Lytechinus pictus: one gene and its partner. The protein of the gene in region 1 interacts with the protein of each later gene in a pairwise test. Links are inferred from orthologs where the notes say so. Each region holds a gene or a part of one and is shown on either strand. Other genes may lie near its edges. The genes, in order: RCC1-like G exchanging factor-like protein and nucleoside diphosphate kinase 6-like.

The links.
Region 2: the proteins of RCC1-like G exchanging factor-like protein (region 1) and nucleoside diphosphate kinase 6-like interact in binary tests that used the Homo sapiens proteins (3 or more experiments, as listed by UniProt). The link is inferred for Lytechinus pictus from reciprocal best matches to the Homo sapiens genes RCC1L and NME6.

What each region holds. Positions count from the first base shown.
Region 1 is NC_087245.1:39,114,604-39,127,625, forward strand, and holds the start of RCC1-like G exchanging factor-like protein, read right to left. Parts: upstream 5,463-13,022; 5' UTR 5,387-5,462; coding exon 5,332-5,386; intron 4,047-5,331; coding exon 3,918-4,046; intron 2,730-3,917; coding exon 2,663-2,729; intron 1-2,662. UniProt on the Homo sapiens protein: Guanine nucleotide exchange factor (GEF) for mitochondrial dynamin-related GTPase OPA1. Activates OPA1, by exchanging bound GDP for free GTP, and drives OPA1 and MFN1-dependent mitochondrial fusion. Plays an essential role in mitochondrial ribosome biogenesis.
Region 2 is NC_087261.1:7,006,381-7,019,565, reverse strand, and holds the start of nucleoside diphosphate kinase 6-like, read right to left. Parts: upstream 5,658-13,185; coding exon 5,652-5,657; intron 78-5,651; coding exon 1-77. UniProt on the Homo sapiens protein: Major role in the synthesis of nucleoside triphosphates other than ATP. The ATP gamma phosphate is transferred to the NDP beta phosphate via a ping-pong mechanism, using a phosphorylated active-site intermediate. Inhibitor of p53-induced apoptosis.

The DNA of each region.
Region 1 (13,022 bases):
TTTCTTTTGTTTTTATTGTTTGAATTATACAATATTTCAATTTTTACAGATTTGACAATAAGGATCAACTTGACTGAACCATAAAATGTTAAACAATGGTAATTCCACATGTTCAGGGCAAAATAAAACTTTGTTTCACAGGACAATGAGTAGAAAATGAGAATATTTCATATTTCATATAATAAAAATACAAAAGAAAAACCCGGTAGTGAGTGAGTGATGTCATCAGTGCCCTCATTTGCATACTGACCGGGATGTGAATATAACTATTTTGAGAAATTAAGCAAAACTTAAAAATGTCATAACTTTCCTATTTTACATCCGATTTTGATGAAATTTTCAGTGTTGTGCTTGTTAGATTTTTGTCATTATATTCAAATCAACTGTTTGTTGCGGTGGACTTGTCCTTTAATCAAAGATATGACACAATAAAAAGGTGAAGAGCATACAAATTAATAAATTTATGATCATCATCATTTTCATAATTTGATATTGATCATTCATGATAACTATTGACAATGTTAAAATTGTTATACACTAAATAAATTGTATTAGGGGGCTGTTTCTAAAAGCTGCACATTAATTCTTTGCCCACTTTGTTCAACTAGTACAGCAGACTGCCAAGTTCGACACAAGTCACATTCGATTCACAATGCACACAGAGTGCATTAAGTCTGTTGTTCGTACACACATACACAAAAGTGGTGTGTTCATCGCAGTGTACACACAAATCTTTTACTAATAGACCGATCAAAAGCTATTGTGAGCTGAATTAGCACAGCTCACGCAAAACCCCGCCAGGGTTACACCTTGAAATTAATGTGGCGCAGGAATGATTCTGTCTGTGGCGGGCAAAGAGTTATCTCTTTGCCCGCCACAGACAGAATCATTCCTGCAGACAGAATCATAACAAAATATTCTACAGTGGCTAGAATATGGAAAGCCATAGGGGTTCTCAATCATTCTTACATTAGTTGAAGTTATATAGATGTTGAAGATTCTTACAGCTAGTGTATGTTCTGTCACAATTAAAATGGAATGATGTGAAATTCAGTGAAATCTGTATAATATACTTCACTTCATAAGGGAGAAATGTAAACCCTTAAAAAATTCTGAGTTTGGCCATTAATTTCTCCCAACTCCAAATTTTACACAATGCAAATTTGATATCATTCAAAAGATCATTTAATATTCTTTAAAATGATACCATACTTGTTATGATCATGCCATCACAAAAAGAGCAGGATTCAAAAGTGTTGGATGAGGTCTGAATTGAAAAGCAGCAAAACGAGTAGAAATGGTTATGAAGGGTCAATAAAGAACATGATTCTTTTGTCTGTGTCAATAAAGATGAAAATCCATTCAAATCAAGCCCCTACTTCTTCATTTTTTATGTTTAGTTGTGGTTTATGTTGTGATGGTTCTGTGAGATAACATGGTTTGAGTCATGGTTTGAGATACCCATGCACATTTGATTGTTATGTGTTTCCTTGTGCCATGTGTGCAGAGGTGTGTTTGATTCCATGTTAATGCTGATGTTAAGGTGCATGAAAACAAAAGAAACCGCTGAGAAACTTGCTCATCACCACAGAAAAAAGAACAGTGACTTTCAATATTGTATAATTTTGCAACTTTTGAATTTTGACCTTGCCCCACATTTCAAGGCACTGCACCTTCGTGTGAACCATAATCATATCATGTATCATTTTAAAGAAAATTAAATGATCTATATGCAACACATGAATATTCACTAAAATCGAGGAGGGGTTATCGATCAAAGTCAGATTTCCAAAAAAAATTTGAGGAGTTTATATATAAGCAGGTGGTCTTTATACAAAGGTTCATTTAATACATGTTTCACTGCAGAGTACTACCAGTATTCTAGGAATACCAAACTTGCGGTCTTTAAAGGGATGGTCCGGGCTGAAAATATTCATATCTCAATAAATAGAGTAAAATTCACAGAGCAGAATGCTAAAAATTTCATCAAAATCGGATAACAATAAAGAAGTTATTGAATTATAATTTCTTTCAATATTTTGTGAAAGCAGTTATATGCACATCGTCATGAATATTCATTAGGTAGGCTGATGATGTCACATCCCCACTTTCCTTTTTCTCATGTTATTACATGAAATCATAAATGTTTCATTTTTCATACATGTGTAAATGATGTGTCTCCATTATGATGAAATAAGTGCGGCAATAAATAACTATTAATGCACTTAATCAGTTGTCAATCCAATTGTTTTAGTTCTTGGTAGAAAAATTTTGAATAAACCTAATTTCATATAATAAAATACAAAAGAACAAGTGGGGATATGACATCATCAGCCCACCTAATGAATATTCATAAAGACATGCCTAGAAATGTTTCACGGGAATAACGCAAATCTTTAAAATTCTATAACTTTGTTATTTGTCATCCAATTTTGATCAAATTTTCAGCATTTTGCTCTGTGAATTTTACTCTATTTTTTGAGATATAAATATTTTCAGCCTGGACCATTCCTTTAAAGAGAAGTGGTCCTTGTATAACAGATGAAAGCGGGTGTGACTCTGTATTCAAATTTTATATTTGGCATTTCTTATGCCAGTCATTCATTAAACTGTTTGTAACTAAAGATCAGCTTTATGAAACACATGTGATGTTAGCGTTTACCTATAATCTTCATGGGGTATAATGGGCCTTCCACACTGACCATGAGAATTATTGCCAAGACTGTATACTGCAAATAGAAAAGGAAAGTCAATCCAAATAAAAACACAAGTGCTAAAACCATGATCACTTGACAATGCATTGAAATTTGCAAAATAACAAAATCATATGTTCTTCTTTATTTCCAACATACTATATTGTCCTTATGCTATTCTTCGGAAATCTTTATTCATGTACTGACAACCTTCTTCATCCGTGAAGATAAGCAAATGATATCTCCCACATAAACATAAGTTTCATAAAGCTGTTTGTAAGTTATACGCATGGCTTTTACATGAGACTGATGACCCTTTCTTGTACTTAGGCTATGGCGCAGTCACGTTTCCCCTATGGCGGCCGTATTGCGAGTAAAAAACAGCCATTTTAACATTTTTTGTATCAGCTACATATACGTGGTTTGAATAAAAATGATTATATGACACCTGGATAGATCCTTGTCCTTTGATTGGTTGTTTGATGTTGATCATTCAGGCCATTTTACAATGACGTCATCATCCATGCAATTTTGGATCCATACGACTTTTCCATTGAACGCGCGTGCAACACTGACCACTGGCAGTGGCCTACACGTAAACTTTTCGGTCTTATAGTAAGTGTGTTTGTATGTATGCGGCAATCAACAGACCGCATTCGCACTGAATTCAAATTTATAAATGCCAAATGACAAGGATCTATTTTAGGTGCAATATAAAACAATGAATTTATTCATGCAATGGACAGAATACTTCATGAGGTGAAAGATAAAATGAATGATCAATTTCATCTTATTTCATCTTTCACCTCATAAAGTATTCTGTCCATTGCATGAATGAATATTCATTATTTGTATAGTAAAACAGCTGTGTTCGACTAGCCATACGGCCGCCTTGGGGGAAATGTCACTGAAGCATTAATAATATTAATATATCCCCATGCCCGGGGGGGGGGGGGGGGCACTCACATATATTGGTGGTAAGGGGACCTGCCGCTTTGATGACCACCTTTTTCAGACCTAATTTTCAGTTCTCTTGATACCCCAAGACCCCATACTTTACCCATTTAGTCAGTTCCTTAGACCCCCATTTCAAATTTCAGATTTTTCGTGAGGCACACACCCCCAGCAAAAATAACTTTGAGTGCCCCCCCTTGGGTCCCTATGTAGCTGACCTAGCACCTAAGATCATATGCATTACGTGAAATTATTTATTTCTGTACTTACCACCTTCTTCATCTGTAAGTATAAGGGAGTGAGATCTACCACAGGATACCTGAGAAACTCTGGTCTTCCGTGGCTTCTTCAGAGGTAATGTGATTTCAGTTGGTGATATGATGGTATGCATTCCCTCAACTAGCAAATAAGCAGGTGCAACAAAAAAAGAGAATAATAAAAATAATCCGCTTTTATATAGCGCTTAATACATCGGAACAACGTGTCTAAGCGCTTTACATATATATTACCCCGGTCATCGGATTCAATCGGTCATTCCCGTACACAATGTATGCACATCCTCCACTCCTTGGGGAGTATTCCAGTCAGTCACCAGTGAAGCGCACACAGTACTGGACAAGCTACAGTGACTTTCTCATCCTACCGGGTACCCATTTAGCACCTGGGTCGAGAGCGGCAAAGTGTGGATTAATGCCTTGCCAAAGGATGCCAAGCTGCGGTGGGATTCAAACACTTGACACGGAATACAAATTTAGAGGGCAGAAAAGAGTTGGCCCAAGTAGGAAACAGTAGTTAATCACTAGTAAATACTAGCTCAAAAATTACATGTACAAGGAAAATGGGAAATGCATGGATATACTATAAAATATGCCTCTTGAATATTTTCATGTATTTTCAGGTACTCCATGTACATCTTTAATGAGTACTTCCAAGCATTTACAAGTTTTTCCCCAGTATTTCCCACCTGGGCGGGAAATGTATAAATCACTGGGAAACTGCCATACCTGGGGCTGAAATTCAAAGATAATTTCATGTAACAGTTTCATTTCAATTGGCTATCCATACTATAGTTAAACCGCAACTTTTAGATCATAGTTTAAATTAAAGTTAAAACTGTATTCAGAATATGGGCTAATGCAGACTTGCCAACCTTCTACAACCAAAAAAAGTATTCTTATAAGGAAAAAAGGTATTTTTTGACAAAAAAAGAGTATTTTTAAAAATTTGTCTCAACGTAACAATCGCCAGCCTGTTGTAGTGAGATCGGTGAAAAAACATATGAAATGACTCTACTTGAAAAATTCTTCATAATTCTTCTTCCAGTCTGGTACAGTCCGCCACTGGCGTATTATCGTACCTCCCTTTCACCCAATAAACATGTGCTCATAGGCAAGGATTAACTTGTTCTTTTCAGGCAACAAGTTACTGGCCTGACAGTGATTTTTACCTGGTCTGGGACTGTCGAACCGGCGCTAGTGTCACACGCTGTGTATAATACATACTCCATGATCAGAAATTTTGAAAAAAAGTAACAAATCATACAAAAAAGGTATTGGTGTATTTATAGCAACAAAAAAAAGGAACAAATACTCTAAAAAGGGAACGGTTGGCATGTCTGCTAATGTCATCATGCGAAAATATTGGATAACTCCCCATTTCTGAATAGTTTTATTTTTCTTCTTACCACTTGTCATAGCTTTGGGATGATATCCAATCTGCGAGTTTGTATTGATGCCCATACCCCAGACCTTACTGGTGTCCTGTGTATGGCTGCCAATCAGTGAAAACCCATACCCACAAGATGCTGTTGTGATCTGCCCAAGAGAGGAAAAAGATGACGTTAAAAAAAAATCAAATACGCAAAAGTCCATTGCGATGAGATAAATTACAATATAATACTCCACAAGAAATGTGAAACAATTCTAGATTGGCAGAGAATAATTTGCCTATCTACATGTAATTTGATCAGTATTTCTGGTCAAAATACAAAAGCTCTCAACAACGTTCTGTAGTCCTGTGGGAAAAAAAATCTGCTACACAAATATTTTTTTCTGTTAATCTTTAAAACATGTGGAGCACATTGATTCCAATGTGATAACTGGGAAAATCATTCCCTGATTGGTGGAATTTGGTTCATAAGAAGCAAGCTGCAGGTCCTTTTCACTGACAAGTGTCAATTGTGGCGGAGCATGGAGGCATAAAGATAAGATCATTCATATACATATATTTTTTCATATTCAAAGTAACTCTAAACCAAAATGTATATTATTATAAAACAATATAAAATAGACATGAGTAGTAATTGTAATATTTTGTGTTGTTTCATAAAGTTTTAGAAAGGTAAGATCCCATGACATAAGACATTTGCTCCAGACACTTGCTCGTACACATAAAACCAAATCCTAACCGTAAACCTAACCCTAATCATGATCCTGATCCTAATATAATCCTGGGGGCTGTCTCATAAAGCTGTTCAACAGTGTTCGTAAGTTAAGAGCGACTTTAAGAACGACTGGTGAACATTTCTTACACGCTAAACCATCGCCAATAAATATACCATTTACCACAAGAAAGGATCACCAGTCGTTCTTAAAGTTGCTCTTAACTTACGAACAGCTTTTTGAAACACCCACCTGAACCCCAAACCCTTCAAAAGCCAAAATCAAGAACCTTGTGTCTTCTGATATATTAAAACAGATAAAAATATACAAATTTTGGGGTCCATCTTACAAAGAGCTGCCATATAACAATAAATTTGAATCAAACCTGAATTGCTGCAATTGATCTAAATTAATTTGTGTAATTAAGTGATAGGATTTTTAGATCTATCACACTTTGAGTTTGATTTAAACCTACAGGGCAATTCCATAAAATATGTATATATGTGGGACTTTCATGAAATTCTCTGTCTCTGATTTCTTGTTCTTTTGATAGTATGTAATGCTCTCAAATGACCATGACAATGGTCAGTCTATGAAGTGAAGTAAAACTTGAGAAAAATGGGGGTCGGACGTACAAAAAGGTTGATTATTTTATGGAAGTGCCCTACATGTACCTATCACAACTCTCTGTAAGACAAAGCCCCAATGAGTATTTCATAAAGCTGTTCGTAAGTTACGAGTGACTTTACATGTATGATCAACTGGTGATCCTTTCTTGTGTTAAGTTAATTGAATACACACCAGGGGGTGTTTCACAAAGATTTAAGATTGATTTAGAGTCGCACTTAAATACCGAGTTGCGTACAGTATAAAAGGCTTGACCGCATGGGTCAGATCGTGTCATGAGGACGCGCACTACTGCGTATCTGATATGATTTTGTAAGTCGCCCTGCGTGGCTGACATGGTTTTTTGTGCTCTCTGAGCTGTGTATGATTTCTACTGTTTACATGTATTGTTTCTCATTAATAATTGTACCAGATAGGTTTGTTATTTGCAAGGATACTTGTAGCCAAATTTGCAACTGTATCTTGCTTGTATTGATGAGATATTACTGGATGTTCTTGTACATGGTTTTGATTTGAGCTTGTAAATCTGTAAGCCATTTTGTACATGTGTATTATATGTCCAGCTATCACCATTCAAGGTCGCTGAACTTGAACGGACAGTTTCTATCTATTGAATGCCTGCATTTGAAGCACAATGGAGCCATTGACACTGTGCCTATTCACTCTCACTGTGCTTTTCAAGTTTTTTCAAGTGTCAACTGCAAGTCTACCTTGTGAAATTGAATACAATACAGGACACCCAACTAAGGAGATTCACTGTAAGTACTCAAAACTTCGAGTATCTTATTACTACAATTCGTCTGCAACATTTCAGCTCAAGATACTTCAGTCTGGCGATGTTAGTCCTAATCCTGGACCAACTAGTGAATACATAACCAGATGTCGTAGTGTTCCTATTCAGTGGAACTCCGACGGAACTAGAGAGCGTATTAAGTACGACAGGTCGATTTTGCTACGAAGCAATCCTGCGTGGGCCCATTTGAATCCAATGACTTTATTATGATTGTAATCCCAACGATGATGGCAATGACAAGAATGGTGATAATAATTATAATGTTGATATAATGATGATGGTATAATGATCGTAATTGATCACGAGAATATTTATTACGACAAGATTGGTGATTATGGTAGCAATAATAGTGATGATCAGAGGATAATATTTTGCTGTGGGGGACAATAATGATGCACCCTATGAACAAAGGATATATCCTCTGCTCCGCCGCCCGCGGTGATGATTAATGTTTTATGATGATGACGGTGATAATGACAGTGATGAAGGTGCTGAGATTAATTATGATAATAATCCTAGTTTTGATGATTACAATGATTATGATTATGATTATGGCGATTGTGATGGAACGACAGTGGGGGAAGGGGCATGTTTGTCGAGATTGAATTTCATTTGAAAATTAAAGGTAGGTCCTAGACTGAACAGTTTCATGAGTGTTTCTCACCAAGGCGAACTTCTACTTCAAGCTAATTACGGAGCTGCAACTCTCTTCAGTTGGTTCGAGATTCGACCCATGAACCTCATATACAGAGAACGAATGATCAATAACCAGGTAACATAATTGTATACGATGTCAATTAAGGACAAATTTTTCTCCTTATGTCTATTTATCGTATGGTTGACATCACAATGAGGCAAAATTTGATTGCATGGTGACTTCTTAAAAAAATCCTAAGTTTGGGATTTTTAAGGGGAAGGTAACACTTATGCTGGATTTTCCCCAACAAATATGATTTTTGAAACTTGTAAGAATGATGGTTGAGTGAACAGGAATTTTAAATTTAGTGTAGCCTATTCATCTTGTAGACCTAAGCAGTGTGTTTTGTGAGTCGGAGTAATGTGATGGTACCTGTTACAAGCGAGATATGGTAAGACTTGGTTGAAAGGGCATTCATCATCTTTTTGTCATTTTACAAATAAAATTCTTATGTATCTCCACCCCCCCCTCAATTTTCCAGACCCCTCTCACTTCCTGGATGGTAGCCTCCCGGGGGTAGCCTTTTCAAAACTTATTTGCCACTGAAGTGACCGGTGGCTGATAGTCATTTTTTTTCTTTCTTTTTATTGAATGATTACCAAGAAATTGACTTGATTATAATTTATGAAATACTTTATTGAAAAACTGAATGTTTGATTGATTACATTGCCCATTGAAATAGTTGATTTATTGATAAATTGTTGATAGGAAAAAGTTGATGCCCCAATTATCATTATAATTAAATTAACATTCTGCTCTGGACTTCACGCGTACATGACAATAAAAATCAGTCACTCAACAGAAGGGGAGTGCGAGAGAGAGGGAGGGGGGCTAAAATGTTATGTTGACCCTTTTTCCATCAACCTACTTATCCCACTTACGTCCAATCTCACCCCCTATTTTCCTGACTCCAATGAACACATTGCTGAGAGCCACATGATAATGTTGAAATGTTGCCCAAGATGTGTAATTTTTGTTCAATTTAATAATTCATAAAACTTGCTTAAACATTCCTAACTGGTTGATCAATAATTTATCACAACGCCCATAACATTGCAAGTTCCAAAGCCAAATAATTTGCCCCTCAAAAACTGACAAAAAATGGAAGGCTAATTCCAGCCCAGCATAATTTTCATACCCTTTGTTTCAATAGGCAGTGTTCGCTCAAACGTGATAGTATCTCTAAACATGGGGTATGGTTTTATGCTGGAAAATCCCTAAACATGCATGGCCCCAATTTTTAGATACTTGCTTTTAGATACATGGGTTCATGCCCCCAATTTTTAGATATTGGCCTTAAACATGGGTCCATATCCGGGGTCCATATTCTCAAATTTGGGGTGATAAACTTTTTGGTCAAGTTTTAAGCCCTTATTATGCATATCAATTCCTTTTATAGGAAAAGCGCTCCTCACAATTTCCGTATATTTGGCACCGGCCGTTTGGTACCGCCTTGACTGAACTGTGCGAAGTGTGTGTGGTCTGTGTGTAGAGATAGACCGAGCCTTCAGCACTATTTCTTGGGGGTGCATAAATTGCCATAATTAGGTTTATTGTGACATAATAAAATTAATCACTGTAATCAATTAATCACTGGGGGAAAAGGATGTACTTCTCTTCACAAAATGAAGAGAAGTACACGAAGGGAAATTTTGTACTTTTTGCATGTCATTGGACGGATGAAGACCCTCATTAAAGTATTGCATACGGGTGGAAGTGCTTGTGCATAGCCTATTTTGTGTTTGTAAATGGTATTCCGTTCTATAGTCTGAATTCTTAACCTTATATCAACTCTTTTCTCTCTTTTGGGGATTTTGTAGATTAGCATCTATCCTGTATTAAATAAACTTGAACTTGATTTTGATAATAGTGACCTGAATGTTTTCATAATTTTATATGGCCAACCTCTCCTTCCGGCCCTACCGTTCTATTATGTTTCTTCCTCCCATTACAGATCCTCTTCCTCTTTTTCACCCTCCATCTCGAGTAATCACTTTCTTCCTTTCTCACTGACAATATGGAAGGGGTGCAGCTCCGATCGCCTCCTTACATCGAGAGGTACACATCGACAGGGCAAAAAAAAAAATCCTTTTAATGGAGACCACCCTGCTGATGTCCACGTTTAATGAAGTGCATATACTTTCACAGTATTGACATTTCAGAAACTTTTTAACATTTGCTAAGATTTGACGTACACGAGATGACACTCAAAACTTCTTTTCTAAAATCGTGTACCATTATTTGATAACTCGGTGTAAATACCAATAAATCATGTAATGGACCTCGACACTCTTCATGTAGTCAGCATGTTCGATTGATACACGTTTGTAAAAAGTAAAACACACACATTAATTATATAATTGATTTTTTTTTTTTTCTCATGTCTTAAAGGTAAAATAGACCTATGGTTTTATCATAAAGACCAGCTGCCATTAACAAATTTAATAAATATCATCCCGTGTCTTTTCTTTGATCATGTAATGTTTAGAAACATTGCTGCTGCATAATTAGTGTGATTCATTTTTGTTTTGTCAAAATTATCTCATCGGCGATTCCGTTCAAAATGCCCTATAATGGGACAGAGAGTTACATGTATATTTGTATTTTACGTGCATTAAAGCCACCGACAAGCTATGAATCGGCTTGGAGAAGACATGCACGCAACTGATCTATAACCATGGACCTACTAGTACACAGCAGTAACATACAGACAATGAGGCATTCAGCATGTTCAGGGTTTCACATTCACATTGAAACGGATTTTTCCTATTGTTAGCTGCTTTGTGATTTTCACACCTTCATCCATTGTTCTCAAAACGTGCTAGACGGCGTAATTGACCAAATTCAGGTTCAAGGGGTGTTTATAGCTATATAGGGTCGTTGACTTCAACCAAGGACCTATAGATGTACAGTGCAGGCACATTATGGCCCACTCTAGACCGTTGCATGAAATCACCCGAAATATCTTAAATATTCATTAATGCATAATGAGGGCGCGAAATCTGATAGTATGGCCTGAAATCTGGACATTTCAAGCACCTTTGTAACTATAAATATGATGCATATATTTAACCATTAATGCGAACGCGAACCGTGAGCCAATTTTTTTGATAAACTGTCATGAAAAGGGGATTTCAAGTAGTTTGTTGTATAATCAATATTGAGACATACATAAATCGCCAATCAAAATGCGAGCGTGCAGCGCTAGCTGAGGCGCGATAGCTCAGTCGTAGAGCGGGGGTTTCGGATTCCGGTGAACCGGGTTCGATTCCCAAGTGGTGCGCGAGTGCCCTTTGGTAAGGCATTTATCCTCATTACCAGGTCCCTCGGAGAGGACCTTAAGCCGTTGGTCCCCTGATTGCTTGCTCACAGGCATTCGTGCTTTCTTAGCAGTCACGTAAAACATACTCGGTATAACCTGATACGATTTGACAATCAGACCCGAAAAGGGATATTTAGAAAATGTATGGAATGCACGAGAATGATAGGTACCAATCAAAATTCGCGAGCGCGCAGCACGAACAGAAAATATTAATATTCAGACCATAAAACTGACATGTTTACAGAGCACTTTTAAAAAATCAGTTTGTAAATCACACAAAATAATGAAGTTCAATTTCCGAGGTGAAATGTGTTTTGTAAATTAACTTCCAAACTTGATACCTAAACTCATTGAACAAGATATGAAAATCACCTAACAGGCAATGCTGCAAGGGCAAAGCGCGAGCGAAAATTGTATAGTGACATGAAAGATTTTTTTTCCCAAGTCTTTCCCTCATCTTATTTTATTCACTCGTCTTCCTCTACTTTATTCTCCTCTCTTTTCCCTCCTCTTTTCCCTTTTTTCTATCTTTTTTTTGCTCGACCAAGAGGGGGGGGGGGTCCCTCGCCCCCCGATCCGCCTATGCTTTGTGGAAAACAAGGTATCATAACGAAATGCATATAGAATATATTTTAACCTGTTGTCAACTTCAAACAATCTTAAAAGATGTCCTGATAGATCGCAAATATGAAAGGCTACCAACTTCTATTTTGTCTTATTGACGTTTCCAACTTTGTCGAGAAAATGCATCTTTGATATTATTTTCTTAACGGAGAACAATTAAGGGATCATAACGAAAGGCATATCAAATCTATTTTGTCTTGTTGACCCCTAACAACAATTTTAAAACATGTCCTGATAGATCGCACACCAATCTGAGATGTTTGTGACTTCCATTCTGTTTTATTTACGTTTCCAACATCGTCGAGAAAAGACGTATTTAATATTTCTTAACGGAGAACAAGGGATCATAACGAAAGGTATATCAAATCTATTTTAACTTGTTGACCCCTCGAAAAATTTTCAATCATGCCCTGATAGATCGCACACCCATCTGAGATGTTTGTGACTTCTATTTTGTTTTATCTACGTTTCCAACTTTGTCGAGAAAATGCATCTTTCATATTTCTTAACGGATAACAGGGGATCATAACGAAAGGTATATCAAATATATTTTAACTTGTTGACACCTAAAAACAATTTTAAAACATGTCGTGATAGATCGCTCACTATTCTGAGATGTTTGTGACTTCTATTCTGTTTTATTTACGTTTCCAACATCGTCGAGAAAAGACGTATTTAATATTTCTTAACGGACAACAAGGGATCAAAACGAAAGGTATATCAAATATATTTTAACTTGTTGACCCCTCGAAAAATATGTATCACCAATAAATATGAGATGCTACCAACTTCTATTTTATTTTATCTACATTTCCAACTTTGTCGAGAAAATGCATCTTTAATATTTCTTTACGGAGAACAGGGGATCATAACGAAAGGTATATCAAATCTATTTTAACTTGTTGACCCCTAAAAACAACTTTAAAACATG
Region 2 (13,185 bases), on another chromosome or scaffold:
GCATCTGATTTCGACCACTGCAACCTCTTCGAGCAAACAACAAGAAACCCATTCTGAAGAATTATCTGCTTTATTATCTGCATTAAAGAAAAAAAAAAAAAATCGTAATTAACTTGCTTTCTGGTCAGTTATTCCAACTGTAAATCTATCCTTGACTATGCAAGAGGCACCTATATATTGTAGTACCCCCCCCCCCTTCTTCTAAAAAAAACAAAATAAGTCTGATTTGCCACAAGCGTACACCGATCAACAATCGACAATGAGCGCTAGATGCACTCGCGCGGATGTGCTCAAAATTTGTATGTGTGTTTTGGCCCCATTTTCAATGCGTTGCTGCTGATATCGCTTCCGTGATACAGTATGGCAGGGCGGAAGAATGCTCTACATTTCCCCCTCCGTGGTGCGGCGGCATCGTAAACAGCTGGATTTCAGCCAGATTTTTATACCAAACGTAGCTTCAAAATCCAACGTAATCGTTCCAAAATGAGCTCAAATCTGTTGATAGGTCGAAGATTTTGACAGCTCATTTCAGGTTTCGCCAATCGCCACATTCTTTTCTCACTTTAATAGGGGTTCAACACAGAATGATGTCTAAATTTGTTGACTGTTTTCGAAACTTGAATTGTTGAAATTTTCGCGTGGCAGTGAAAAGCCAGCAAATAAATAAAACCCCAGGGGTGGGCACTCGAATTATATTTTGATGGGGGTGTGCCTCACGAAACCTAGACAGGAATTACAGTCGTTTCTGGAATTTATTCACTGTCATCTCTATTCACCGACGGTAGGCCAGTAACATTAGTGCGAGCTCGCATGGGTACTAACGTCCCCTAATTCGGGCCTATGTTTTGTCTAGAGTTTAAACATTTTACGAGGTCTACATAAAAGAAATATTATTTAAAAATCGAAGGCCCATATTTCCTTAAATTATACACTATTTTGTGATGTTACTGATCATCAGTTCAAACAATGAAAAATATAGGTTACCAATGTTTTATTTCATGGTTTTTTAAATCAATCACAGTATTTTCCCCCCTTTTTGATGTTGAGAAGTACCGATGGTGATATTTTTGACGCGAGATATGGTGATTTAGTAAGAAAATTTCACTTTTTATTCGAGATTTTGCCCATGTCGCTGGATGATTTTGTAGTGTGGGAGTGAGTTAGTGAATGTATACTGTACATGTTTAGAGGGGGTCCGACCACATGACCGAAGTTCCGCGAGACCGAGGGTCCGTGAGACCGAAGGCCCGCGAGACCGATTTTTTTTTTTCCCCTTCATCGGTTGCCGAGGTCGAGTGGTTTAAGACGCCTCGTTGCAGCAGCGTAACAGGTGCCTGTATCGGGGGGGGGGGGGGGGGGGGCAAATAATTCCTGTTAACTAATTTAGAATCAGTGGCGTTGCTAGGATTTCATTTAGGGGCGGTGACCACGCGAATCGTGCGAAACACGTACTGCGCGCACGAAACGTCTCTCTAGGGGGGGGTGCAGGGAGGGGTGTTTCCGCTACTTACAGTACAAACTTATGATGCCTTATTTCACTGACACTACTTAATCATTAACTCTACTCATTTAACGTTTATTTTTATGGTAATTCTGCTTCATAATCTTGTGCATTTAACGTTTAACAAGAAAACTGGTAATATTATGAAAATGCATACACCTGGAACATTGAACCTTCATTATGGGCAATCCTATCTTAGCATTTTTTTTTTCATTTAAACAGAATAACAACAAGGTGAAAGTTCTAGAGAAAAGAAGGTACATTAATTTGTCACTCAAATAGAAGTGCCGGTTTAAATCAGTTTTCCTCCGGGAAGCCTGTCCTCGGGAGAGTTTTCATTGGGGAGTTGTCAAGGGTGGGTCGCCTTCCGGAGGAGTAGTCCTCTCGGGGAGTTGTCCTAAAACCCATTTTTTTATTGTTGTTGTTACTATTTTTGTTATCATGATATCAGCAGCTGCAGCAGTAGTAGAATTAGAAGTCGTAGTAGTAGTAGTTGTTGTTGTAGTAGTAGTCGTAGTAGTAGTAGTAATATATTATTATTGTTGTTTTTATCATCATTATTATTATTACTATCATTTAAGTCGTTGACATTATTCACCATTTTTGTTTTGCTTTGTTTCATTTTGTCTCCTTTGTTTTTATTCATCACTTTAATTAGTTTATTCAATCAATTTTTGAAACTGACACTCCAAATAAAAGGATGAATACTTTTCTAAAACCAGACAATGTTTTATAAACAGTCCTGCATGTTATAGTTATGTCTCTGAAATCCAGATGAAGAAAAAATGGTAGATGAGGTAAATGATAATTAAAAATGGCCGTAAAAGGGAAGGAAAATAAATTAATAGAAGCGCCGAGTTCACCTAGAGAAAAGAAGTAGAAAAAAATCAAGAAGAAAAAAAAGAAGCAAACTTATTTAGGAATAAAATGTTAACATAATTAAAGAGAACAGAGAAGGAGAGAGAGGGCGGGGGGTTCAAGAGGAACGATAGGAGAAATTGAAAGTAAAAAGAGCTGTGAGAAAAGTACAGAGGAAAAGAACTTGGAAGAATATCCAATTTATTTGAATGCTCTCTGTGTCTATCAGTGTGTGGGATGAGTGAGTGCGTTTCTATGCAAAATATGGTAAGGATATTTCTATAACAAAATCTTGAATTTGCAACAGCCCACTTCGGATGCGGCGCCACTGTATTTGGGTTCATCAGTCTAATTGTTGTAACATTTTTTGGTTTCACCTCAGTTGTGTAGATTTCTTCAGAGACTATGGTATCACTAGTGTACCTAAGGGGGGGAGAATGCCCCCCTGACGAGTCACAAGCCAAAAAAAAAGGAAGCGAAAAAAAGGAAAAGAAAAGAGGAAAGAGATAAAAAAGGGGGAAGGGGAAAAAGAAGAAAGAGTTTAAGAGAAAGGGGAAAACAAACAAGGCAAAAGCCAAGCGTTGTCTCGCCTGCATATTGCAGTCATGAAGAGACTGCATGTCAAAACTACATGTATGCTATATGACTTAGATGGACGTCTGTTACGAGTTTGGCGATCCCACCTCGAAGCTATAGAAAGTTATTGTGTGTACAACACAGCAGTGCCAGTCATGGAAAGTTCATTGACCTTTGACCTTAATCAATTTCCACTCACATTCGAACTTGACCTGCACCTTGAAGAGATGGACCTCTTGTTTGAATTTGGCAATCCTACCTCGAAGATATAAAAAGTTATTATGTGTACAACACAGCAGTGCCAGTCATGGAAAGTTCGTTGACCTTTGACCTTAATCAAATTCAACTCACATTTGAACTTGACCTGCACCTTCAAAAGATGGACCTCTTGTATGAATTTGGCAATCCTAACTCGAAGATATAGAAAGTTATTGTGTGTACAGCACAGCACAGTGCCAGTCATGGAAAGTTCATTGACCTTTGACCTTATTCAAATTCGACTCATATTCAAACTTGACCTGTGCCTTCAGGAGATGGACCTCTGGTATGAATTTGGTGATCTCACCTCGAAGCTATAGAAAGTTATTGTGTGTACAACACAGCACAGTGCCAGTCATGGAAAGTTCATTGACCTTTGACCTTATTCAAATTCGGACTTGACCTGTACCTTCAAGAGATGGACGTCTGTTATGAATTTGGCGATCTCACCTCAAAGCTATAGAAAGTTATTGTGTGTACAACACAGCACAGTGCCAGTCATGGAAAGTTCATTGACCTTTGACCTTATTCAAATTCGGACTTGACCTGTACCTTCAAGAGATGGACGTCTGTTATGAATTTGGCGATCTCACCTCAAAGCTATAGAAAGTTATTGTGTGTACAACACAGCACAGTGCCAATCATGGAAAGTTCATTGACCTTTGACCTTATTCAAATTTGACTCATATTCGAACTTGACCTGTGCCTTCAGGAGATGGACCTCTTGTATGAATTTGGTGATCCCACCTCGAAGATATAGAAAGATATTATGTGTACAGCACAGCACAGTGCCAGACCCTTAGTGACCTTTGACCTTGGTCATGTGACCTGAAACTCGCACATTATATTCAGGGGTACATGGTTGCTCTTATGTCCAAGTTTCATGAACTAGATCAATAAACTTTTAAAGTTATGACAATTCCTCAAATAACCTCAACATGGCCAAAGTTTGTTGACCCTAAGTGACCTTTGACCTTAATCATGTGATGCAAAACTCAGGCAGGATATTCAGTGATACACTATTACCCTTATGTATAAGTTTTATGAACTAGGTCCATATACTTTTGAAGTTATGACAACATTTCAAAAACTTAACCTTGTTTAAGATTTCGATATTGATTCCCCCAACATGGTCTAAGTTCATTGACCCTAAATGACCTTTGACCTTGGTCATGTGACCAGAAACTCAGACAGGATGTTCAGTAATACTTCATGACCCTTATGTCCAAGTTTCATGAACTAGGTCCATATACTTTCTAAGTTACGATGACGTTTCAAAAACTTAACCTTGGTTAAGATTTCAATGTTGACGATGCGGCCATCGCCGCCGCCGTCGGAAAAGCGGCGCCTATAGTCTCGCTCTGCTATGCAGACGAGACAATAAAAAGGAGGAGAAATAGAACTATTATCAACGATAAAGTGAGCAATAAAAAATGAAGGTAAAAAAATGAAGGTAAAACTAAAGAAAGAAAAGGCTTGTCATGCCTTATACACCAGCTCGTAGCCTAAGATCATCACACCAGCAACTTCTTAAGACTCCCAAGACACGTGTAGCATATGATGCGCGAGCTTTCTCTGCCTCAGCACCTTCTCTCTGGAATAATTTGCCGTTACATAAAGAATGATACCATCACTGGAGACCTTCAAATCTAAACTGAAGTCTTATCTTTTCTAACAGTATTAGTTATTGGCACTTTGACACTCATCCAAACTTTCTTTCTTTTCTTGTGCGCCTCGGAATAGAATATTTCTAGATAGATGGCGCTATATAAATGCCTATTATTATTATTATTAAGAAAGAAACTTAAAGGAAAAAAACAAAAAAAAAGACAAAAAAAAAATTAAAAGGATATAAAAATGAAGGAATAAAGAACCGAACAAAAAACCAGAAAAAACGAGTAAAATAAAGAAAAAAAGAGAAAAGGAAGGAAAAAAAAATGTAAAAGGTGAAGGAAGAGAGAAAAAAGGAAAATAAACAAAGAAAGAGAAAAAGAAAGAAAGAAAAAGATAAGAGAGAAAAGATGAAAGAGAAATTAAAGCAAAAATAAAGACTAAAAGAAATCGAAAGAAAGGTTAATTCAAAGAAAGAAAGAAAAAGAACGAAAAGGGAAAATAAAAAGGCAGGAAAAATGAAGAATGAATCAAAAAACAAAAAAGAAACGAAGAAAAATTAATGGAGGGAATAAAGAATTTTTTTTTAAAGAAATTAATAGAAGAAAGACGGAGAGAAGACAGAAAGTAAAGAAAGAGTAAATAAAGTATGAACGAAAAAAAAATGAGCGAAAAATTATTTTAAAAAAGAAGAAAGAAAGAAAGACACAAAAGTGACAGAAAGCATTAAAAAAATGAAAGAACAAATGAACGAAAATAAAGAACCCAAAAATATAAAGAAAAAATATTAAAAGAAAAATAATGAAACAAAAAGATTTAACAAGTGGAATGCCTCTGGCGGTCTCACCTGCATCACGCGATTCAATATAGCAGCAGTGCTGACTTTGAAAACTACTTTAACTTGCACACGGTGTTCAGTGATACTTGATTACTCTTACATGTATGTCCATGTTTTATGAACTAGACCAATACACTTACAGAGATATGATGGTAATTCAACAAATACCCCCAACATGGCCAAAGTTCATTGACCTTACATGACCTTTGACCTTGATCATGTGACCTGAAACGCGCACAGGATGTTCAGTGATACTTAATTACTCTTATGTCCAAGTTTCATGAATCAGATCCATAAACTTTCAAAGTTATGATGGTAATTCAACAAATAATCCCAATTTGGCCAAAGCTCATTGACCTTAAGGACGTTCCACAGTTAAAGTGAAATCCATGTCATTTTCACCAAACTTTGCACATAAATACTTTAGAACCTTAATATTCGAAATATGCAAAAATTAGCATAGGTCCATGTGCTTGATTTTTTGCTATAGAACTTCAAAGTTCACCCAAATTGATGTTCTTAAGAATTGCGCATTCAAAAGAATTTGGCATTTTTAGACCGCCCAAGATTACTACAATGAGTTTAAACCTGTATTACTCAGTAAAAATACATGAAAAAGTCATCAAATTTCGCAAGAGAGTTAATAATTGTATCGCTAGAATGGAGAATATACTTATAGTGCTATTTGTTTGCAATTTTAAGTTTAACAGCACTGTCAGTTCTTAAAAATGGCGTAAAAGATAACAAAATCCCAATCTAAAAAATGTGAAATTTCAGTAACAAACTACAAAAGTACAAAAAGGCTGCACTTTATTCAAAATCCATGTCATTTTAACCAAAATTTGTAGAGTTGTAGAGGAAGGTATACCTAAGAGGAACAAACATTAAAAAATAGGGGTTCATGTGCTTGTTTTTAAACTATCAGTATTTTATTAGAGCAAATGTGCTTTTTAAAACACCAAAAATGCGCCAAATGCTTTGTATCTATGTGAAGAAAAAATCAAAACCACTCTACCATTTATTCAAACTCGGGGTAATATTCGTAATTCTTGGCAGCACTGCAGAGTAAAGTATTTTGAAATTGTAGAGAATCTCTTTTTTGAATGGTCCATGGAATAATTCCATTCTTTAGCTTCATGAAATAACGCATCGGATCTGCAGTTAAAGTGCAGAAGATGAGAAAAATCAGCACATACCCGCAGCTAATTAATCACCTGTTCATCCATTGTGACGTCAGCGCGCAGAGTGTAAACTATGCGCAGATCATAATGCGCACAAACATAACTGTGGAACGTCCTTAAATGACCTTTGAGTTTGACCTTAATCATGTGACCTGAAACTTGCACAGGATGTTCAGTGATACTTGATTACTATAATGTCCAAGTTTCATGAATCAGATCCATAAACTTTCAAAGTTATGATAGTAATTCACAGATACCCCCAATTCGGCCAAAGTTCATTGACCCTAAATGACCTTTGACCTTGGTCATGTGACATGAAACTCATGCAGGATGTTCAGTGATACTTGATTAACCTTATGTCCAAGTTTCATGAATTAGGTCCATATATTTTTTAAGTTATGATGACATTTCAAAAACTTAACCTTAGGTTAAGATTTTGATGTTGATTCCCCCAACATGGTCTAAGTTCATTGACCCTAAATGACCTTTGACCTTGGTCATGTGACATGAAACTCAGGCAGATGTTCAGTAATACTTGATTAACCTTATGGCCAAGTTTCATGAACTAGGTCCATATACTTTCTAAGTTATGCTGCCGCCGCCGCCGTCGGAAAAGCGGCGCCTATAGTCTCACACTGCTATGTAGGTGAAACAAAAATTAAGGGAAGAAAGAAAAAAATGAAATGAATAAAATGGGGAAAACAAATTAAGACGAAAGAATGAATGAAAGAAAATAAATAAAGAAGAAAAATTACAAAAAATAGTGAAGGAAGAAAGAAAAAGGGGAAAAAAGAAAGAAACAGAAAAGGGGGGGGGGGGAAGCAAAAATAAAGACTTAGTAAAGAAAAAAAAGAAAGGAAAAAAACAAAAGAGTGAAAATAAAAAAGGAAGATGAAGAATAAATGAAACAAAGCAATATAAAAATAAGGTTGAGATTAAAAAATTCAAAAGAATAAAGCAAAAGATATACTGGTAATGAAGAATGAAAGAAAGGAAGATAGACAGACAGATAGAAAGGAAGAAAAAGTGAAAATAAATAAAGAAAAAAAGATAGAAAAAAGGGTGAAAAACAAAATAAAGGGTGGATGAAAGAAAGGGTGGAAAGAATACTCATTAGTACCAGTAGCCATGATCTATTTTGAGCAAGAAAGAATGCGAACATCGTCATGATCGTGAGATGTGATAACCCTCAAGCTATCTTAAATATCATAAATATCGTGAAAGATAAGATAAGAACGTTTTCAGAATACCACTTATCTTTTTTAGCGTGCTTTTGACTTTTTTGTATTTTAATTTTTATGCGCGAGTAATAAATTTACGCGCTCAGGCCTCAGCATACGATGGAAAGCAAGATGAGAAAAAGATAAGAATGTTTGGCATACTCGTGATATAGGCCCCGCTCGAGAAAAACTTGTAATCGATCATACCTCAATATCTAGGTTGCTAACTTCAGCTCACTATATATACTCGTGATATAGGCCCCGCTGCTGTGTTGAATGGCTCAGAATGTCCGTTCGCGGGGCCTGTTTCACGAGTATAATACTATAATCGTTATATAGGCCCCGCACTACGGCACTTCAGGCACTCCAAAACAGTAGCGGGGCCTATATCACGAGTATATTATTAAGCTTGCATCCTAAGATAATCGCGAAACTGGCCCCGTCCAATGCGCTTTTCCCAGCATTCGCACGTGCGTGGGGCTCGGATGACGGCTATTAGTATATTCGTTATCGAGGCCCCTTGCACTGTTATATCATGGAAAATAACGTGGTCGTGGGGCTTGTTTCCCCGGCCGGTGAGAATTATCATGGGCGGCGCTGGAGTGGGGGGGGGGGGGGTGGGGGGGGGGAGGGCCTCCAATTTATTTTCAAAATAAACAAGGAGAGATACTAATAAAATGTGTATGTATTTACTTCTTCAGAAATTTATTTGTCGATTTACTTATATATTAATACAATATTATTAATCTATTTATCAATCTATTTATATTGATTAATCAATGTATCTTATTCATTTGATTTATTTGTTTTCGGTTTATTTTTCTTTTGTGATATAGAGAGTCAGAGGTATCATTTATTTCAATCTATTTTAATTGCTTAATTAATCATTTATTTTATTTGTTTTCAGTTTTTTTTTCTTTTGTGATAGAGAGAGTAAGAGGTATCATTCGTTTTTAATTATTTTATGTGTGGAAGTTCACTTATTTCAATCTATTATAATTGATTAATTAATGTATTCATATTGATTAATTAATGTATTTATATGTATATTTATTCATTAATCATTTAATTTATTTGTTTTCAGTTTTTTTGTGATGTCCAATGCGCTTGTCCAAGCATTCGCCGTGTGTGGGGCTCGGATGACGGCTATAGTATACTCGTTATCGAGGCCCCTTACACTTGTTATATCATGGAAAATAGCGTGGTCGTGGGTCTTGATTCCTCGGTGAGTGATATCATGCGCGGCGCTGTACGGGGCCCGGGGGGCTCCAATTTATAAAAAAAAACAAGGGGAATAATAAAGAAGTGAGTATTAAAACTCTGCATGACAATGGAGTAGGATCCATATGGGCGACTTGTTTTAGGCATGTTATCCTTCCAGTTTTCAGAGAAAAATCAACCAGGCCCCTCACAACCTGACGCCGCCCTCGTGTTGCTAATATTTTCTTTTAAAGATCTGCTCTCTGAATAACTTTTGATAAATCCGTGAATGATTCATTCATTTGCTAATTTTTTTGGAGTGTTTTCGATGTAACGTTAGGCCTATATTATGTTGTTATTTTTGTTCCATTATCCATCGTAATTTGTATTTGCTAGTTATTTGATAACCTCGTTTTATTCAGCATTTCATTTGAATTATTTTTTTGCGGGGAGAGAGGTGTCATTAATGATTAAATTATATAGCTCTTGTATAATTTCCCCCAACCTTTCACTTGACGTAATGCTGCGAATGAATCCATTTATTCATTCATGTATCATAATCTATTTATAATCACCTGGATGTAAGAAGTCAATATACATTTTTTTCAAATCGGCTTTTTTCTCTTATTCAATATTGAATCATTCATCTGGCTTCCTGCGTATTATCAATTTGTATTTTTTCATTCCTTTCATAAATCCCCCCCCCCCCCCCGCTTCCCCACTTTTCATCCATTTAAGTTCAGAAAAGAAAACGAATAGGCATATTCATTCGGGAAAAATGTATTAATTTTCTTTTGGTCAATTTTATTATTGCTTGAGGGATATCTACGCTAAAATTAACTTAATCTATATTTTACTGAGACTTATCCCCCCCCCGGCCCCCACAATTGGGGATAGGCCTATCATTATCTATATTATCTAAGTACGTTAAGTACGTTTTCTCTTTTACCTAAATATCAATTTATTAATCTTTTATTTTTTTTTAAAGCTTACTAATACCGTTCATTGATATTCCAGTATTTCTTCAGCTAATTAACCTATCAACTTAAATTATTTTCTCATCCTGCTTTCATTTTAATAAATCCACTTGAAGATTGTTTGTAATTGTATTTGATAGCATGGTTTTAAAAATGATGGATTTCGATTGTTTGCTGGTATACATGGTAGTAGGCCTGAAATAACGGCATATCGCATCAACAAATTATTAAAAAAAAACATTTATTGATCGATCGTCATTTCATTAATTCACCATCTAAATATTGCATTTTTTTCTTCGCCTATATGGTATTCATTTATTTACTAATTCATACACCCTCGCCCCCGATTTTATTAAAAGATTTAATAATTTCGGAAAAGTGTCTCAATGTGTTCTTATAATTTATTTTCATGCACGAATTATTCTACTATTTCCTTATCTGTGATATTTTATTTCAGGAGTTTAATGTGTCCCCCAGATCCGAGATTTCGTAGCGGGGGGAGGGGGGCAAATTTGAGAAGACAGTTGGTGGCGCATATGTCTGTCTGGTCAGAAAAAAATATACACAGAAGTACGGGTTCAGTATTTTTAAAGGGGCGGGGGTACAGCCGTACAGGCCGGTTGGACACATTGCCATTCATGAAATCCCTGGTCGGCCACTCAAAGAGGAAAAGGTAAGTGTTTTTTTTTTTTTGGGGGGGGGGCGTTGTGATATGGAAGTTTATGTACATTTTACTTTAATATTTACCAACAAGATAGGCCTACCATGACTATACGGCCGAACTAAACGAGAACGCTAACTGTGAAAAAAAAAAAATTATAATCCATGTGTTAAAAGCTATGAATGGAGCACACCAAGCTCTTATTAACCCTAAACAACAAACGTTTACTTAATATTTTAATTACTGAACTGAAAATGGGAAAAGGACTTTACAGTGACGCATGAACAGGATATGAAAGAGGAGCGCGAGCTGATTTTTTTCACACTTGAAAATAGGATGCGAATGCAATCGAAGTTCGAGATGAATTTTGTTGATATATATCGACACGAAAAGGTTATGTTTTTAAACACTGCTGACGTGTAGGAGTGAGAGAGGGGGGGGGGCATCTTGTTCAAAACTTAACTTTCCTTGTTAAATTTGATCCATTACAAAGGATAATAATGCATTTTAAATGATTTTAGTATAATTGACGTTTTCCTTGAACCGTTGTGTTCTTTGAATTGATGGGAACATAAAATTATAGGTCTATAATCGATTGTAATTCTTTTTTATTAGGGAGCAATAATTTTTACCAAAATCCCAATCATCTTGGAGTGTAATATTTTTTCTTCTTTTTTGCCATTTTTTTCAAACAAAACCCACAGCACCCCCTACTAAAAATCGTTCCCAGTGCCCTGCTTGATCGTTTATCGAACATGATTTGCGTGGATATTTTTTTTTCTCTATATTTGAGATTTACATAATTCTTGATTCAATAATCAGATCATGCTTCATAAACTTCTTTGTTTGTAAAATTATATTTCTTGAAGACGAAATGATATGACTGTTGTGTTTAAGTGACATTTGTTACCTTGTCAGTTTCGTTCAATAGTTTCTGGAGGGTAAGAAATTAGCTTTATTTGATTAGCATTATATTTAGGATATATAACCAAAATGATATTGCTTGGTCATGTTTGATTCATCTGTAAATATCAATATTTTACATCGATTTACATGTAGTTTAATTACCACTAACATAGTATCCTGTTGCTAGGCGACATCCCACAATTCTATAGGCGCTGTTTTTCATGCAGTTGCATCATACATATACTTAGTTGACATAGTGAGGTCACGAGTCGTGGCATGTTCTGATATTGTTTTTTTTATATATATATAAAAACACAAATTTAGAATGAGAAATCAGATAAAGCACAAAAGTTTTTCTAATTTAATTTTTCTGTTTTTTGATATACAAAAACCAAATCACAACACGTTATTCTCGTTGTGATTTCGTTTTTGTGTTTTCAAAAACCCCAAACTAAGGGGCTGATTTTCGTTTTCGCTTCTTCATGATTGGAACAGAAAAACAAATTATCCATTAGTACCTTGATTGTGCAGGTTACTGGGCAGGTGAAAGTGACATTACAATTGATCTTAGCAAGTCATTCAGTACATTAATGAGTAGAATACAATTTGATATAATAAACACTAATTAAAGTGTGAGAATGGAAATATTTGATTAGAGAATAGCGAACTTCTTAACCAAAATGCGTGGCAATTAAAAAATATATTTTCAGCAAACCTTTAAGAATATTTTTTTCTAGTTTCTGCTTTAATTATCATAAACTTTACGTCAGGGTATACTGCCCCCTCTCGGGGTAGGCCTATCGTGTCAATTAATAGACAACAGTTTTTCCCAAAACAGCACAAACATGAACGAATAAATGAATAAACCAGGAAATGAATAAGTGAAGCAATACGAAGGAGAACTTGAAATAGTAATGTATTAGGCCCCCTCTCTCTCTCTCTTTCTATCTCTCTCTATATATATATAAACGTTTCACGTATTGGCTTCAGTGGTATTATAAAGTAACAAAATATAGTTTGTTATATATATAATGATATACGGTATAGAGAGAGAGATCAAATCCATACTCAAAAAAGAGAAATTAACGATAATTGTTGGTCTAACATCAAATAAAACAAAAAGTTTAATACAAACAAATACATGAATAAAAAATTAATTTAAAGGACAAGTCCACCCTAAAAAAATTGATTTGAAAAAATAAAAGAAAATCGAACGATCATAACGCTGAAAATTTCATAAAAATCGGATGCAAAATAAGAAAGTTATAACATTTTGAAGTTCAGTTTAATTCAAAATAATAGTTATATATGCACATCCAGGTCGGTATGCAAATGAGGATACTGATGACGCCACCCACTCACTATTTCTTTAGTATTTTATTATATGAAATATATTTT